2 linked regions of the Anolis sagrei genome follow. The protein of the gene in region 1 purifies or fractionates together with the protein of each later gene. This does not show direct contact. Links are inferred from orthologs where the notes say so. Each region holds a gene or a part of one and is shown in the gene's direction. Other genes may lie near its edges. The genes, in order: NUAK2 and PPP1R12A.

The links.
Region 2: the proteins of NUAK2 (region 1) and PPP1R12A purify together in Homo sapiens (affinity purification with mass spectrometry; 3 studies listed by BioGRID and IntAct, counting the BioPlex papers as one, with this or other methods). This does not show direct contact. The link is inferred for Anolis sagrei from reciprocal best matches to the Homo sapiens genes NUAK2 and PPP1R12A.

What each region holds. Positions count from the first base shown.
Region 1 is NC_090024.1:194,149,798-194,159,252, reverse strand, and holds the start of NUAK2 (NUAK family SNF1-like kinase 2), read left to right. Parts: upstream 1-5,360; 5' UTR 5,361-5,442; coding exon 5,443-5,622; intron 5,623-9,455. UniProt on the Homo sapiens protein: Stress-activated kinase involved in tolerance to glucose starvation. Induces cell-cell detachment by increasing F-actin conversion to G-actin. Expression is induced by CD95 or TNF-alpha, via NF-kappa-B.
Region 2 is NC_090025.1:148,567,346-148,576,430, reverse strand, and holds the start of PPP1R12A (protein phosphatase 1 regulatory subunit 12A), read left to right. Parts: upstream 1-4,727; 5' UTR 4,728-4,939; coding exon 4,940-5,176; intron 5,177-9,085. UniProt on the Homo sapiens protein: Key regulator of protein phosphatase 1C (PPP1C). Mediates binding to myosin. As part of the PPP1C complex, involved in dephosphorylation of PLK1. Capable of inhibiting HIF1AN-dependent suppression of HIF1A activity.

The sequences.
Region 1 (9,455 bases):
CAGGCATAGGCAAACTCCAGCGCTCCACGTATTTTGGACTTCAACTCGCACAATTCCTAACAGGCTGTAGGAGTTGAAGTCCAAAACACCTGGAAGGCCAAAGTTTGCCCATGCCTGGTCTATTATATAAATATCACTGTCAGACCAAATCCATGCTGAACTAAATTAAAAATACAAGACTGATGGGTGATATAGGATGCTCCCATTGACCTTATTCAAACCCTATCAGGCACGGAATTAACTGGATTTACTTTCAGTTGAAACCTTATGTCCAGACAAATTTGCTCTGCACTGATTGTATTAGCGTGTTCTTGTGGTATGTTTTGCTCCTGCCAGAGCCCTTTGAAGTTCTGGGAAAATCCAGGTCTGGATGAGTAACCCTGGAGTTATCTTTTTCTTCAATCACTGCGATGATCTCACATGCCAAAGTCACGCTGAAGCTTTTGTTTTGACTGCTCTTGGAACTTTCCTCTTTAAGAACTGAAACCACAATGTGGCAACTGGCCGTCCTTCCATCTATTCTTAAGTTGCTCATAGAAACTTGGGAGGAAGGGGAAAATTGCACTCTGCAGAGTTTTTCTTTTTTAGTCTTTAGATTTTCAAAGAAATATATGCAATTCCCAAGACTTCCATTATCACAAAATGGTTAATACAAATAAGACAGGAAGGCAACTCTACAACACACACACATACAAACTGAGAAAGCTTTGTAGTTTTATCCTTCTCTATCCCAGAAGGACTATCTCAAAAGAAAGAGAAGATGTATAGAATAGTTTAATTTAGTCACCGAGCATACTTTTAATATTAAATACACATATAGGCTTTTAACCCAGCAAGAGTTTATTCAGCCACAATAAAATATCCCATGATCACAGGACACTTCAAATATTAATATTGACATCACATGCTCATTGAACTCACTGGGAATGTTTTTGAATAAGCATACATAGGAAATGTTCAACTAATAAAAGGTTGCTTTAGGACAGGTCTTTGTAGAAACAAAGAGCTTCACATAATAGCTTTCATATGATTCCTTAGTGTATAACATTTGGTTGTGATTAAAAGCAGACTAATAATCTTTTTTTAAAGATGTAAGTACTGTCCACATATGTCTGGACCAGATAAGTACAAATGTGTTATATAGCAACTCTCATTATTTTTATATAATTGGAGTTGTAGTCCAATACCTGTGGAAAGTGCCAGGTGAGGAGAAATAACTGCATTCATTGGGGAAAATGAATAGGTGAATAAGCATATAGCATGAGCCTAAATCTGTTTACTTAGAAGAAATCTTATTTTATTATTTTATTTACCATATTTATATCCCGCCCTTTTCACCCTGATGAGAACTCAGAGTGGCTTTATACATAGGCAACAATTCAATGCCATAAAAACAACATACAATTAAAATAAACATTTACATTACAACCAAAAATTAAAACATCTAAACATTACACCAGCTATTAAAACCATGCAATCCACTATCATAATCCGGAGCGACTCCAGTAGTCATTGCACATATTCTGTATCAATTTATTGCATTACAATTATTATCTGAAGGCTTGGCCCCAAAGCCACATCTTCATTTTCTTTCTGAAGGCCAGGGGGGAGGGGGCTGATCTAATATCACTGGGGAGGGAGTTCCACAGCCGAGGGGCCACCACTGAGAATGCCCTGTCTCTCGTCCCTACCAGTCGCACTTGTGAAGAAGGCGGTACCGAGAACAGGGCCTCCCCAGAAGATTTTAATCTCCATTATGGTTCATAGAGAGAGAGATGTTTGGACAGGAAAACTGGGCCGGAAGCGTTAGGGGTTTATTGGATAAAGCCAGCACTTTGAATTGTGCTCTGTAGCAGACTAGCAGCCAGTGGAGCTGACATAACAGGGGGGTTGTGTACTCTCCGTATGCTGCTCTAGTGAGGAATCTGGCTGTGGCCCATAGAACCACTTGAAGCTTCCAAACAGTCTTCAAGGGGAACCTCACATAGAGCGCATTGCAGTAGTCTAGTTGGGATGTGACAAGAGCATGGACCACCATGGCCAAGTCTGGCTTCTCAAGATATGGGCGCAGCTGGTGCACAAGTTTTAATTGTTCAAATGCTGCCCTGGCCACCCCCAAGACCTGGGGTTCCAGGCTCAGCTATGAATGCAAGAGAAATCTCAGGCTGTGAAACTGTGTCTTGCAGAAATCAACATAGTTACTTAAAGATGCTCAGAATCCTTATTGAGACAGTATTTCCAAAGAAATCAGTTGAACAAAGAAGTTATACAAATTATCATGTGAGTTCATTCATTAATCTGCTTTTCATGAATTCAAGGAAAAATGTGATATCCGTTTTATCTGGCATAAACCTTTCAGATATGAGAAATTTTATTTCAAATCCATGTGAATTGTGTATTGATGGTGGGATCTGGATTTTGTTGTTGCTGTATAGTACTTTAATGACTGAAGAGTGACGGGTCATAAGTTCGAATCCAGTGAGAGTATGGATGAGCTCCCTCTGTCAGCTCCAGCTCCCCATGTGGGGACATGAGAGAAGCCTCCCACAAGGATAATAAAACATCAAAACATCCGGGTGTCCCCTGGACAACGTCCTTGCAGACGACCAATTTTCTCACACTAGAAGCAACTTGCAGTTTCACAAGTAGCTTCTGACATGAAAAAAAAGTTTTTTAAATTTTTAAAAAATATTTAATGGTTTATTGACACATAGAAGGGTTTTTTGTACTCATAATTTGTATCTACGCTGTTTTAATTTGCATTGTGTCATATTGATTAGTGGTGCCTTGAGTCCCTGTATCAAAAGAAAGGCGGGATAAAAATAAAGTAAATAAATCATTAAATAAAAATTCTTGCAAGAGATATTAGTCTTACTAATATCTCAAGAATCACTCACAATGATTACCATCAAATTTCCCACTGAGTCCTCTTACATTAAGGGCAATAAATTGTGTGTAGCATCCCAACCCTGAGGAATGAGTGGCATGTGGATTTCTGCAGGGTAAATACTAGAACAAAATAGAAAAAACAAGTGGGATCTTACCTTTTAAAAGAAACAACAATGGCATGATAGCTTGATTAGATAGTGAGATGAGTCAAAATTAGAAACAAAGCCCTGCCTATTAGGAAGAACAAAAGCTTATGGAAAGAATGCGAAACCCATCTGCCATCACAAAGACAAGGGCAGCATGGAGTGTATCTACACCAGGCATGGGCCAACTTGGGCCCTCAGGTGTTTTGGAGTTCATCCCCCACCATTCCTAACAGCCTCAGGCCCTTTTCTTTTCCCCCTCAGCCACTTAAGGGGGGAAAAGGAAGGGGCCTGAGGCAGTTAGGAATGGTGGGAGTTGAAGTCCAAAACACCGGGAGGGCCGAAGTTGGCCCATGCCTGGTCCAGAGCAACATTCTCTATATATTCCAAGCAAGCAGCATGGATTATGCAGACACTGACTGCTAGAAATGGGAAAGTAATCTCCTGTTGGGCTGTCACCTACTTCCTGTCTAATCCTACACATGCCTGGTGTAGACATATCTCTGCTTTCAGGGTCCTAGTATGACATACAACACCTTGCAAAGTAGATCTTGTAAAAATACAAATCCTGTGATTCTATAGCAGTGCGCCATGGCAGCTAAAAGTGCTGTCAAACGGCATTAAATCCAGTGTATATAGATGAACTCCTAGGACCTCATCACACTAGGAAATGAATACACTTTAAATCTGCCTCCTGCAGAATTCTGGGGTTTGTAGTTTAGGGAGGCAGTTAAAGGCTACTCCCTAAAGGCTATTCCCTAAACTACAAACTCCAGAATTCTGCAGGAGGCAGCAACCAGATTTTAAATGGATTCATTCTGTAGTGCAGTGTTTCTCAACCTGAGGGTTGGGACCCTTGGCGGTGGGGGGGGGGGGTCGTGTGAAGCTGTCAGAGGGGTCACCAAAGACAATTGGAAAACACAGCATTTCTGTTGGTCATGTGGGTTCTGTGTAGGAAGATTGGCCCAATTCTATTATTGGTAGGGTTCAGAATGCTCTGATTGCAGGTGAACTATAAATCCCAGTGACTACAGCTCCCAAATGTCTTGGTCTATTTTTCCCAAACTCCACCAGCATTAACATTTGACCATATTAACTATTCATACCAAGTTTGGTCCAGATCCATCACTGTTTGAGTCCATGGTGCTCTCTGGATGTAGGTGAACTACAACTCCAGAACTCAAGGTCAATGCCCGCCAAACCCTTCCAGTATTTTCGGTTGGCCAGGGGAGTTCTGTGTGCCAAGATTGGTTCAATTCCATCATTGGTGGAGTTCAGAATGCTCTTTGATTGTAGGTTAACTATAAATCCCAGCAAATACAACTACCAAATGCCAAGGTCTATTTTCCCCTAACTCCACCAGTGTTCACATTTGGCCATATTGAGTATCTGTGCCAAATTTGGTCCAAATTGATCATCGTTTGAGTCCACAGTGCCCTCTGGATGTAGGTGAACTACAACTCCAGAACTCAAAGTCAATGCCCACCAAACCCTTCCAGTGTTTTTTGTTGGTCATGGAAGTTTTGTGTGCCAAGATTGGTCAAACCCTTCCAGTATTTTCTGTTGGACGTACGAGTTCTTTGCCCTGTTTGGTTCAATTCCATCGTTGGTGAAGTTCAGAATGTACTTTGATTGTAGGTGAACTATAAATCCCAGCAACTCCAACTCCCAATGTCAAGGTCTATTTCCCCCCAAACTCCACCAGTGTTCACATTCGGCCATATTGAGTATTTATGCGAAGTTTGGTTCAATTCCATTGTTTTTGGAATTCAGAATACTCTTTGATTGTAGGTAAACTATAAATCTCAGCAACTACAATTCCCAAATGACAAAATCAATCCACCCTCAACCCCAGCAGTATTCAATGTGGGCGTATTGGGTATTTGTGCCAAATTTGGTCCAGTGAATGAAAAATACATCCTGCATATCAGACATTTACATTGCAATTCAGTAGAAGTAGCAAGAGAAATAATGTTATGCTTGAGGGTCACCACAACATGAGGAACTGTATTAAGTGGTTGTGGTATTAGGAAGGTTGGGAGTGTCTAGTGTGAAGAGGTCCCTAGATGCTCAAAAAAAGGGAGTGATAGAGGGTGCCATTGGCTGCACCATTTCATCCACGGTCAGATGGAAGGTGCAAATCCCTCACTCAGGCTGGGATCCTAAAACAAATGAATGGGAATGCCCACAAAGAGAGGGTTTCCCCGCCCCTCCCTCGGCTTCTCCCACCTTGCAAAGGAGGAGGGGGGTCACGTGGGCCGCCGCAGCCAATGGCTGCAGAGAGGGCGGGCCCGCGGCGGGCAGGTTCCTCGCATTTATGGGCAGAGGATCCCCAGCCGGCTCATGCCTTGCCTTGCCTCGCGCGCTGTCCCCGCAGAGCCTGCCCTGCCTCCCTGCCTGCCAGCGGGCGATGGACGCCTCTCCTGCCGCCGCCCTCCCTCCGCCCGCCAAGGGCCCCGCGGCCAAGAGGCAAGCCGTGAAGCGGCACTACCACAAGCACAACCTCCGGCGCCACTACGAGTTCCTCGAGACGCTGGGCAAAGGCACCTACGGGAAGGTGAAGAAGGCCAGGGAGCGCTCCGGGAAACTGGTAAGGAAGGCGGGAAGGAGGGAGGGCGGGCTAGGGTAGGACCCCGCCACTCCGGTGTCTTGTTTAGGAGAGTTCTGTCCCGCTCCCCTCTCCTAACCAGAGACGTCCCACAGGGAATCTCGCAGCCCTCTGCATCTCCGCCCACAAGGAAAGAAATCCCCCCTCCATGCGGCACCAGCAGCCTCTGGGCAGTCTTGGAGCGCGCATCCTCTCCGCACCCGGATTGCAGCCCGAGAGAGAGAGAGAGAGGCAGGCTCAGGGTGCCTCTGTCCTGCACTGTCGGATGGATGCAGTTTGGCACCGCTTTGGCTGCCATGGCCCAGTGCTGAGGAATCCAGGCGAGGTGGGAGTTTGGAGAGGCACCAGCACGCTTTGGCAGAGAAGGCTAAAGACCTGGTAGTCAGAAGAAGAATAAAAAAATTATATATGTAATATAACATACTATTTATTGTTATTATTAAGCATATCCACCAGATGTTCCTCCACCAGATAATAGAACAGTACCATATATAATAGAACAGTTCTATCTATCTATCTATCTATCTATCTATCTATCTATCTATAATTAGGTCTTTATTATTAGATGTGTGTTATTATTATTAGGAATATAACATTATTATTACAAGGTGTATATACATATAATACTTTTTATACACACACACTATCTCACCCCAAATTCCATAGCCCCAAAATAATAGAACAGTACTATATATAGATAGATAGATAGCTATTAGGTCTTTATTGCATTACTATTATTAGGTGTGTATTGTTATTATTATTTGGACTTTATATAAAATTATATGTATATATAAGATGATTATTGCAGGATGCATATAATACATTTTATAGCATATTTATACACACACACACACACACACACACACACTATATCTATATATCACCCCAAATTCCATAGCCCCAAAATAATAGAAGAGTACCATGTGTGTGTGTGTGTGTGGTTTTTATTGCATTGCTGGTATTAGGTATGTATTATTATTATTAGGACTTTATATAAAATTATATATATATATATATATATATATATATAAGATTATTATTACAAGGTGTATATTATAGGATATTTATACACACACATTAATGTGTGTATGTGTGTTTCACCCCAAATTCCATAGGCCCAAGATAATAGAACAATAATTAGGTCTTCCTCCTCCCTCTATATAATACATTTATATACACATTACTATTACTAGGTGTGTATTATTATTACATCTCTCTCTATATATAATTATTATTACAAGGTGTATATGTATATAATACATTTTATAGGATATTTACACACACACACACACATCTCTCACCCCAAATTCCACAGGCCCAAGACCTGGCAGTTCAAGTGGGGACCTTTATGAGGGCTCATAAGATGGTGTCGGGAAAGATACCTGTAGTGGATGTCTTGGATTTGCCCCTGAGTAACAAGAGCTTGCATGGTGTAAGGGCTAAGAGTGTTGGGACCCTGCTCAGCCATGGAAACCCCCTGAGTCACTCTCTGTCATGCTCAATACTATAAAATTAATGCTGTTGGAATCCAATCCCAACTCTTATGGCTCAATGTCAAGGGATCATGGGCATTGTAGTTCTACATCTGTTGGGGGTGGTTTGAATGCGATGTTCCTGCTTCTTGGCGGGGGGTTGGACTGGATGGCCCATGAGATCTTTTCCAACTCTATGATTCTATGAGTGCTGGTGCCTCACTACAACTCCCAGGTTTCCATGGCTTTGAGCCATGGCAGTTCAAATGGCATCCAACTGCACTGATTCTGCAAATGCAAAGAGGAAGGCAAAGGTCTACTGAAGAGATCTTGCCAAGAAAACCCCACCATGGAAGCAGTGAGAATCGTGCATTATGGGGGTCTGTAGGAGGGAGGATCCCATTCACCATCCTTGCAGGGAAGGTTTTCAGGCGTAGGTGGGAAAGCAAAGGCATGGCTGACTGAAGAAATGACTTGCCTAAATACATGTTAATCATATTTAATGATACTGCAGAGTAATTGTTCCACCTCTCCGCAGGGAGGGAATCAAAAAAAGTGGTGCAAGAGGCTAATCTGCTGGCCAGAGCTGCCAAAGCATCCAGCACTGGTTGCATCTCTACTGTGGAATGAATGCAGTTGGTCACTGCTTTAGGGTTGTAGTTTGGTAAGGTACTAGAACTCTGGCTAAATATATTCTTAAACTACAACTCCCATGATTTTATACCATTGAGCTGTGGCAGTTAAGTGAGGCGCAATGGCATTAGTTCAACAGTGTAGAGCAGACATGTGCAAACTTGGGCCCTCCAGGTGTTTTGGACTTCAACTCCCACCATTCCTAACAGCCTCAGGCCCTTCCCTTTCCCCCCTCAGCCGCTTAAGCTGTTTGCCCATGCCTGGTGTAGAGACACCCTCTGGTCCTGGGTTCAATATTATAGGTTCTTCAGACATCAACCTCACTGTTTTCCTGGGGAAAGTGGGCCTTGTGTGCATGTTATCTGGTAACATTGGGGAGGAAAAGGCGTTATTTCTAATGAGAGATAGTGCTGAAAAGATAATAAAGGCTAGTTCAGGTCTCTGCACTGCAGGGAGCCTTGGCTCTGGATGCATTTATTTCTTCTGTATCTGCCAAAACTTGGAAACAAGGCTGCTTCACACTCACACAAGTGAGTGTGGTGATGCAAACTGCAGAGAGGCTGAAAAGTGATGTGATCTAAAGCAAAGTGAATGCTCAGACCTGGCTGGGATGGGGACAGGCCCGCGCAGGTTGAGGTGGCCTTGCCAAACTTCACCCGGCTTGCTGTGAATCATTCTGGCTGAGGAGGAAGAGTGGTGGGGATTAAAGATAATTAACTCAGAGCCAGACTGGTAAAACTTCTCAGCTTTCTTGCCAGGCTGACTTTCTCCCTTTGCTGATGGTGGCAAATTCACTGGCATGCATTTGGTTCCCCCCCCCCCCTTTTAGGGCAGTGTTTCTCAACCTGCGGGGAGGGGAGGGGGGGTCATGAAGGGGTGTCAGAGGGGTTGCCAGATCATCAGAAAACACAGTATTTTCTGTTGGTCATGGGGGTTCTGTGTGGGAAGTTTGGCCCAATTCTATCATTGGTGGGGTTCACAGTGATCACTGATCGTAAGTGAACTATAAATCCCAGCAACTACAACTCCCAAATGTCAAGGTCTATTTTCCCCAAACTCCACCAGTGTTCACATTTGGGCCAAGTTTGGTCCACAGTGTTCTCTGGATGTAGTTGAACTACAACTCCAAAAGTCAAGGTCAATTCCCACCAAACCCTTCCAGTATTTTTATGGTACTTTTGTGTGCCAAGTTTGATTCAATTCCATCGTTGATGGAGTTTAGAATGCTCTTTGATTGCAAGTGAACTATAAATGCCAGCAACTACAATTCCCAAAGGACAAAATCAATTCCTCCTCCCCCCAACCCCATCAGCACTCAAATTTGGGTATATCGGGTATTTGTGCCAAATTTGGTCCAGTGAATTAAAATAAATCCTGCATATCAGATATTTACATTCCATTTCATAACAGTAGCAAAATTACAGTTATGAAGTAGCAACAAAAAAAATTATGGTTGAGGGTGAACTGTATTAAGGGGTCGTGGCATAAGGAAGGTTGAGAACCACTGCTTTAGGGTCTGCATTCATGGTAGCATGTTACCTTTTTAAAAAGAGAGTTCCCATGAACTACAGTATAAGGCCCCTTTCGGCAAATGTTCATTATTTATTTATTTACTTCACTTGTATACCTCTTTTCTCACCCCAGTGGGGGACACAAAGCAATTTCCAACATAATTATGGCAGAATTTAATGCCTCACATACAGAAACCTA
Region 2 (9,085 bases), on another chromosome or scaffold:
CCAGGGGTCCAAGCAGGTCTCCCTCAGCTTCATCAACTGGGTGTGATCCTCCAGGAAGGAATGGAACCACTGCAGTGTACTCTGACACCGTATTGAAAGTTAGACTTGGACCCAGTGGAGCCCTGAGCAATGAAATCAAGACATCAACTGGGGTGACACAAGGGTGCATTTTAGCCCCTTTTCTCTTTAACTTCTATATAAATGACATCGTAAACACATTATCCTCTGACAGTCTACATGGTCCTAAAGTTTTGTCCAGAACTATTAACATCCTGCTTTACGCTGATGACATGGTGATTATGGCAACATCTCCAGTGGGACTAAGAAGATCCCTGGCAAAATTCAATGTGTACTGTGAGCTAAATTCACTCACTATGAACAAGGATAAATCCAAAATTATAGTCTTTGGAAAAAACAGGAAACGGTACACGTGGTCCCTGAAAGGCATACATTTGGAACAAATTAATTGCTACAAATATCTAGGCATTATGTTCTCTTCGTCTGGTGCTTGGGCTAACCACATTGCTCATAGTATACAAAGAGCAACGAAAGCAGCAGGTTCCATTTATAAGCTGTACCATCATAGATACCCAGGCACAATCAGACCTGCCCTGGAAGTCTTTAAAACAAAAATAATGCCAGCACTTATATTTGGGGCTGAAATTTGGGGGCACATCAATCTGGCTAAGATTGAAGCCTTCCAAGTGAAGCAGCTTCGCATCTTCCTGGGCCTTTCCAGAACAACGCTGATGGCGGCAGTAAGGGCTGAGCTAGGAATACTCCCAGTAAAAGCTCAAATTCTAATGAGACAGTCTAATTACTGGTCAAAAGTAAACTCTATGGATCCCAGTAGACTTCCTCGCCTATGTCTAGAGGATCAAGTCCAGCATGACCAGAAGTCATCGTGGATGGCGGCTCTAAATAATGAGCTGGCTGGATTCGGTCTGCCTTTGCAATTTCTGGGTGTTCTGGGTCTGGGGGCAGGGCAAGTGCTCAAGCGGCGCATTAGGGATGTCTATGCACAGCTGGACCTAGAGAGCATAGGTAGGTCTTCAGCCACAAGGTTTTTAGCTTCCCACAAAAGGAATATTCATTTAGAGCACTACCTAACTATTCCACTTCCTCTACCCTTAAGAAGAACATATACTAGGGCTAGGTTTGAACAACTCGGTACTATGGTGCAAACCGGGCGTTACTGTAACATCCCAAGAAGTGAGAGATTCTGCGTCTGGGGAGAACAAACAGTGGAAGACATTGAACATTTCTTAATTGACTGTCCAGCATACACCGATCTGCGAGACAGATATTTACATCTAATATTATCCAACTGCAGGTCCCACAACAGAAATGATATTCTGACATCCCTCTTGCAAGGGCAGGAAAGATCCAACATAATCAGAGTAAGCCTTTTTATTCTGAAAGCCATTAAGAAAAGAGCAGATTTCCTGAAAGAAGAACCAGGAAAATAAGAGTCTGACTTATCTCCTTGTTGCCTTGTTTGTTTGTTTTTTACTCGTGTTTTACTTTGAAATGGTCATATGACTGATCAAATAAATTATTATTATTATTATTATTATTATTATTATTATTATTCACTGCAGTGCAATGCCCCCAAGACCCATTCCGGAGAGCCGCCCCAGAAGTATACCATGGTTGATGACATTGAAATCTACTGAGATGTCCAAGAGAACCAAAAAGGACACATTTCCCCATCAAGCTTTCTGCAGAGGTCCTCAATCAAAGTGACCTAAGTCATCTCCGTTATGTGACCAGGCCTAAAACCAGACAGTGACAAATCAAGATAATCGGTTTCATCCAAGAATGCCTGGAGCTGAAAAGCCACCAGCTGCTCTAGAACATTGCCCAACAAGGGGAGGTTAGATATGGGCCAGTAGTTATTTAATATCGAGGAGTCCAGGGAAATGTTAAGAAGGAAGTCATTTTATTCAGTCACTGCCATGGTAAGTTTTGAAGATGAAGGTACTCAGAAAAGACCCTCTCATGCCTACCTCAGCTATTCAGCAGTCCTCCAGGTCATTTCCACCAAACTTTCATTGCTGTAAAGTTCAAAATCATTCCCTTGAATTATACCCAGAAATAGCAATGGTCCTTTAGTACAGATGTGTACACTCATAGTACATAGGCAATCCTTGCCCACAGTCTGTTTTATTGTGTGTTAGTTGAGGCTCCTCAAGATCTCACACATATGTGACATTGGACTATTTTTTATGTTGGCTTTAGTAATACAAGCAATTTTAAACTGATTTTGATATTTAAAGCATAAAATGGCTTAGACACTGGGAAAGACAAGCATACCAGTATGAGTCAGCTTATTTTAAAAGGTTTGATGAGCACAATAAATCATCACCTTACATTAATATCTAGTTTTGCTCATTTAAACAATGTCAAATGTTTTTTCACAGTACTGCATTCTGTTTTCTTTCAATATGGGAGACAATTATAGCCGGTTTTTACACTTAGAAACAGGGCACAGCCATTACTTCTTTTTTATCAAAATATCAAGATGTCACTAAATCATTATTCTAATGTCTCTTTTTGCCTTTTAAAAAATTTACATATATGGTAAGCCCTCTTGATCCACAGATTCAACCATCAACAATTGGAAGATATTTTAAAGACCCCAAAAGAAAACCCTGGCCTTATCATTTTACATAAGGGATACCATTTTTCTATTCCATTGTATATAATGAGACTTGACTATCCGTTGATTTTGGTGTCCACAGGGAGTCCTGGAACCAACTCCGAGTGGATACCAAGGACCAACTATAAAAAGATATTCAAGAACATAATTTCTCATGCCTAGGCCCAGAAGTGTTCTGTATTTCAGATTTTAGTATACTTGCATCTCTCTCTCTCTAGTAGTTTGAGACTAAAATCTGAAGACAAAATTCATGTATGTTTCATATAATCTGCCCATCACATCAACAAGTGTCCTCTAGCAATCTAGGTTGTCTAGCATGACTGTAGTTAATTTCTGCTGGAAGTTCACCATACAGTTTGCTCTGGAGAAGCTAGAAATTCTTAGAGAAATGGTTCTTTAGAAAAAAGCTATTTACGGTTTCCCCATTTTCACACATACCAACTCCAGTGATGCAGAGGGCTCACTTAGATGCATCATTGGAGCAGAAGCTAGTGACAAGGTGTCCACAACTCTGAATGGGATTACACTGGATCAGTTTCAATTGGTGAATACTGCTGATGTGGACAAGCTGCGGAGGCAAGTAAGGATGACAACCTGCTTTCTTGATCCCTGCCTTTCTTAGCTGGTTGTCCAGAGCCCCTGGTGGCACAATGGGTTAAACCCTTGTGCCAGCAGGACTGCTGACTGACAGGTCGGCAGTTTGAATCCACGGAGCAGGGTGAACCCCCGTCTATCATGTGGGGACATGAAAGAAGCATCCTACAGGATGGTAGCAAATCCGAGTCCCCTGGGCAAGGTCCTTTCAGATGGCCAATTATATCACATCAGAAGCAACTTGCAGTTTCTCAAGTCGCTCCTGACACAAAGGAAAAAAAACACCCTGGTTGTCCAGGGAAGAGATGCAATTCAATCTCAAGTACAACAAATGATCAATGCATCTCTCTGAGAAAGGAATTTTCAGTCCTGTTTTAAAGAAGCAGTAGTTAGACCACTGCTGAAAAAGCCCTCCTTGGATAACCTTAATAGCTACAGACCAGTGTTTAACCCTGTCTCTGAAGATGCCAGCAAAATATCAGGAGAAAATGCTGCTAGAACATGGCCATACAGCCCGGAAACCACACAACACCCCAAAGTTATTATTATTATGATACCTTATATACATACATAGCCTAAAGGTAATTTTATACACATTTTAAAATAAGTTTGTGCATGAATTTTTAGTTTGCATATACTGAACCATTAGAAAACAAAGGTGTCTCGGCCATACAGAGGCAATTTCAGAATTTGGAGTAGATTTTGGCAAAGTGGTGCTTAAGCTGTATTATGAAAATCTTGAGACAATCCAAATCGTACAAATGGAATCCTAGCGTTGGAAGAGACATAAGCCATCTAGTCTAACCTCCTGCCATGCAGGTATAACACAATCAAAGAACTCCCAACAGATGGCCACCCATCCTCTGTTTAAAAGCCTTCAAAGAAGGAGCCTACTCTCCAATGTTGAAGAACTCTTATGGTTGAGAAGTTCATCTTCATGTTCAGGTGGAATCTTCTGACTCTTAGGAAGACAGCAAAACTCTAAAACTACCACAGAATTTGCTTGTTTTTTGTGCCAATGGGCTTTTCCTCTCGATTTCCTCAGAGGACTTCGCTCCCCCTCAAAAACAGCCTATTCTAAGAGAATCCAGGAAGCACGCGAGGAGAAGCTCCATTTCCACACGCCCTTATTCGGAGCTGAGGGAAAATAATAGATCAGCTCCGAGCCCCATCAAACTACAAAGGACTTAGGCAGACTATGACGGGGCACTCAGTTCCCGCTTCTTTCGACTATTTGGAGGCGTGCTCCTGAGTCTAAACTGAGGGGGCGTCACCACCATCGCCCCCTCCCTTCCTTCCTTTCAGCCTCAATCTCGTCAAGAAGTTAACTTGACTCGCGGGACTTTATATACATGAGGGAGATCTCGCGAGGTTACGTCTAGGAAGCCGGGCAAAGCCACGCCCCCACGCCCGCCTGAGGCGACTGGATGAGCCACTCAGGAGACCGACCGGGGCGCATGCGCAGACGAGGAAGGGAGGAGGGGGAGGCCGGATTGTAGTGGGAAGAGGCGAAGCAAGAGGGCGCCGGCTGAGAGGGTGCCGCGGTGCTTTGTGGGAGACAGGCGGTGCTCTGGCTTCTCCGCCTCTTTCTGGTCTTGGGTGCGGAAAGAGAGAGAGGGAGAGTGGGGGAAGGAAGGAAGGAAGGGAAGAGGAGAAGGGGACCGAGTACCGAGCGGGCAGGGCATGAAGATGGCGGACGCCAAGCAGAAGCGGAACGAGCAGCTGAAGCGCTGGATCGGCTCCGAGACCGACCAGGAGCCGCCCGTGGTCAAGCGCAAGAAGACCAAGGTGAAGTTCGACGACGGCGCCGTCTTCTTGGCCGCCTGCTCCAGCGGAGACACCGAGGAGGTGCTGCGGCTCCTGGAGCGCGGCGCCGACATCAACTACGCCAATGTGGACGGGCTCACCGCCCTGCACCAGGTCAGTCAGCCCGTCAGTCAGTCAGCCCGAGGCCTCGCCTGGCGGGGCCTAGCCTGGGGCGGCCCTGAGGCCTCCCTCACCTCTCCTCGGACGGGAGCCGAGAGGGGACATTCTTCCATCCCTGAGGCGAAGTGGCCTTCGCTGAGGGAAGGCTGGACTCTGCTGAAAGGTGGCTGAGGTGGGCGGCTAGGCCTCCCCCCTATCAAGCAGTCGGGATCTTCTTTCCCTTTTCCTCAGCGCTCTTGGGAACTGGAGGAAGAAATGAGGCTTATTTTCCAAGGGATGGGATCTGGGGGAAGGTTGAAGCGGCCTCCATCCCTCACCCAGGAAGGAGAGAGACCGTCTCCACCTCTTCACATAGGGGAGTGATGGTTTTCCACCCACTTCCAGGCTTCTGAATGGTTGCCACTTCCTGCCTTTAAAGTTTCCCAAATCTGTACACAGTGGGCCAAAAGTCACCTGATGTTTTAATAACTTTCGGAAAAGATTTCACACCTAATTTAATGTCATTGTGTTTCCTGTATCGTACAGTGCTGTGGCATTGTAAGCGACAAACACACAAAAAAGTTATTAAATATTGAAACCCCTTTGTGACTTTTGGCAGTGTGCATGCTGCCTCTTGTCCTTTCAAGAAAATACCTGCAATTTCTCTCACTTTCCTGTGTCCAACTCCCTTCTCCCCAACCGCCTCTGGTTTTTACTTTTTAAAAAAGTTTTTTGATAAAAGTTTCCTCTGTTTTGGGGGCTTGAACTCAAATCCAGTCTTTCCGCCCAGCATACATGACTTCTTCAAAGATGAAAAGTGGCTGTAAAATATTTAGTGTGGATGTCATTGCTTTCTTTGGTAAATCTCTGAAAACTGTTGTTTCGGGGAAGGTAAAATAGTTGTGACGCTTTTCTCAAAATGGATGTTTTGGGCACGTTAAACTTTTATAAGCATCTGATTGGAATCTCCGAATGTTAGCCAAATAAGGAAGGGATGTGGCAATCCGAAGATAATACGGGTTTGCTTGGATGGATCTAGGTTCTGCTAATAGGCCAGGAGCAATAACAATGTTAAGCTCACTGAGTATCAGAAAAGCAAGTATAATCACTTTGACAGTTTGAGTTTTGTTTTGAACGGCAGATGTCCTGGTAGTTCAACAAAGGTGGAGTAATTAGGATGTATTTTTGAATCAGGTAGAAATTCTCTTCCGAGTAGACTGCATAGTTAAGTCCTTTAGTAATCTCTTAAGCATAGATTTCATTTTAGTATTTATTAAAAATTCAAGATGATGAAACAAGCATGAGGGAAGCATTCCTGTTTGTGTTTGTTCAAGATAGCAAAGTTGGCTTACAAGTTATGTATATTTTGTTTTCATTGTTGTGTAAGATGTATAACCAATCTAGTCTACTGAATGAAATATGCTGTTCTTTAGACAATAGGCTTAAAGATATCAAGCATGTCTTATTAAAGGATGAATTGTACTAAGAAGAAATCAAAAAATAATTAAAACTGCCTTTTTAATGGCAAAATGTGGTAAAAGTAATTTCTCTAAAGGCTGACTGGCAAACCTCTGCTGTGTTTCATTACCCTAGAGAAGGGTTGTTGTTTTTTTTTGCTGAGACCATATTTTACTAGGCTACATGTTAATTTATTCACAGGTTCTAGAAGAACCAACATTTATAGAATTTCTTATAATGACAGTAAGAAGATGCTGCTGTAATGGTGAAGATTTCTCTTTAGCCAGCAAATTTCTGTAATAGAATTTCAATGTGTCAGATTTGACTATGTTAGCTCTCTTTTCTGTACCACTGGTGTAATGTCTGTTTAACTATATTACTTTTTAAGTTGTTAGCAGCTTTGTGTCCCAACTGGGAAAAAGTGGGGTACAAATATAACAGCAACATATTTGGCTTTGATACCATAAACAATCCTGGCAATTCTTCTGCTAGCATGTAGATAACTGGAAAGGACAACCCGAAGCTTGGATGACTTACCTTATTTATCAACAAGTCTCATCAACTTTAGTTGAAGTCTACAAGGATATGTAAGATTATAATTTTTGAAAAATGAGAATTGCTTACACTGTAGGGTTAGTAAAGAATGAATTTGCTACTATATCCTATGTGTGACTGTTTTTAAAGTGTAATAAGTGAACTGTGACTCTGTAGTTCTGTTTACCAGTCTTCACTATCTTGGTGTCATATACATGTTTTTGCACTAAAATTGGAGTCACCATAGTCAGTCTGAAGAAGGTAATTTAAAGCTGCATAGAATTGTTTCAAACTTTGAAACTAATAATCTTAGAGTTGCTTGATTAAACTTCTTGTGTATCTAGGATTTGAAAATGAGGAACTACATGGCACAGTGGGGGGGGGGGGGGCTTGCAGCTTTGGATGTTATGTAAAATGAATGTCATGCCATTTAATATCAACAAAATAATATCAGTGCCTGCAGCTTTGTGGGCCCAGTGCGGTTTTCTTAAGTGCCAGCATCCAGCAATTTATTTAATAGGTTACACTAAATTAAACTTGCAGTTGATTAGGTCATGGTAGTTTTTTTTTTTTTTTGTACAGTCACCACAGTTGAAGGAGGTACATATCAGTCCTAGTAAGTTGTGTAATTTAACTCAGATAGTGGGAGGGAAATGCTACTTCTACATCATTTCTGTCCTGCTGGTGTGAGTCTGGCAGGGCTTTGGGTGAGGTGGCTCCTCTGCTTTATTTATTCAGATTATTTATACACTGCTTTTCAGCCACACATGCTTCCAGAGTTTCTTACAAATTATTTATTTGACAGTTCCCTGCCCTCAGGCTTACAGTCTAAATAAGATATGACACAAGGAAGAGAGAATGTTACAGTTCACACCCTACCTGTACAGGATATTGTTCTCTGAATTCTGAGTTTACGCCTTCATATACATAAAGCTAAAATATACTTAATGTAAGGATATGGCATTCAACTAGTGCTTGAATCCTTAATAATATTAATGACTTCTTTTAATGACAACTTAAATTTGGTTGCTGCAACTGCTGACCAAATATATATATGAAGAGTGGACCACTTTCTGTTTGTGCATATCAAATTGAGTTCTGTTTGACAGTACAATCAACAGAAATGGATACAGTAAAATATTTAATTTTCTTAGGGGAAAAGAGCCATAATTTTATTCAGTAAACTGCAATATGTGAATTGGTGCTTTAAGAGAAAGCAGAAATGTGGCTTTCAGTTGGGAATTGTTATTTTTAGTTTTTTCTTTCTGTACCATAACAACATGGTTTTGTTTTTAGAGATAACTTTTGATCTTATCTAAATGGAAAAAATCCAAAGTACTGCTTTCACATAGTTGATGTAAAGTATAATTGGAAGAAGAGCCAACATAGTTGTTGACTGGTGGCAGTTCTAGTTTCGAATTTTGGTGTTTCTAAAGTAGAAGGTTCTTGTGAACAAGTTATACTCAGCATCTGACTTGTCAGTCTTTTTGAGCCAAACTAAGCAAAGCTAGTCCAGAGCTATGGATTATTTTTTGAAACAAACACCCGCCTTTCATGTACAAATAAATCAAACTTTTCTTGATATATCTTGGTATATCTTGTTATCAGAGCCCCCATATGGAAAGAGAGCATTCAGTATACTTGTGCCTTTAATGGTTGAGGTTACTATTATTATGAAGGAAAATAAATGAGGAAAGCTGTAAATCATGTCTGAATGTATTTATAGAAACAGATTGCCTCATATCTATGTGTCTATTGTGCAGATTAGCTCCAGCAAATCTCACTAATCAGAAGTAGTAATAAAGCAGTCTCAAGCAACCATCTGAACTGCTGGGCCTCCTGGCTGACCTCTAGCCTGAGACCTTTCTGTAGAATAGAGACTGTATTCTTGTGCAGTTAAGCTAGAACTGTGTGAAAATGAGGGACAGATTT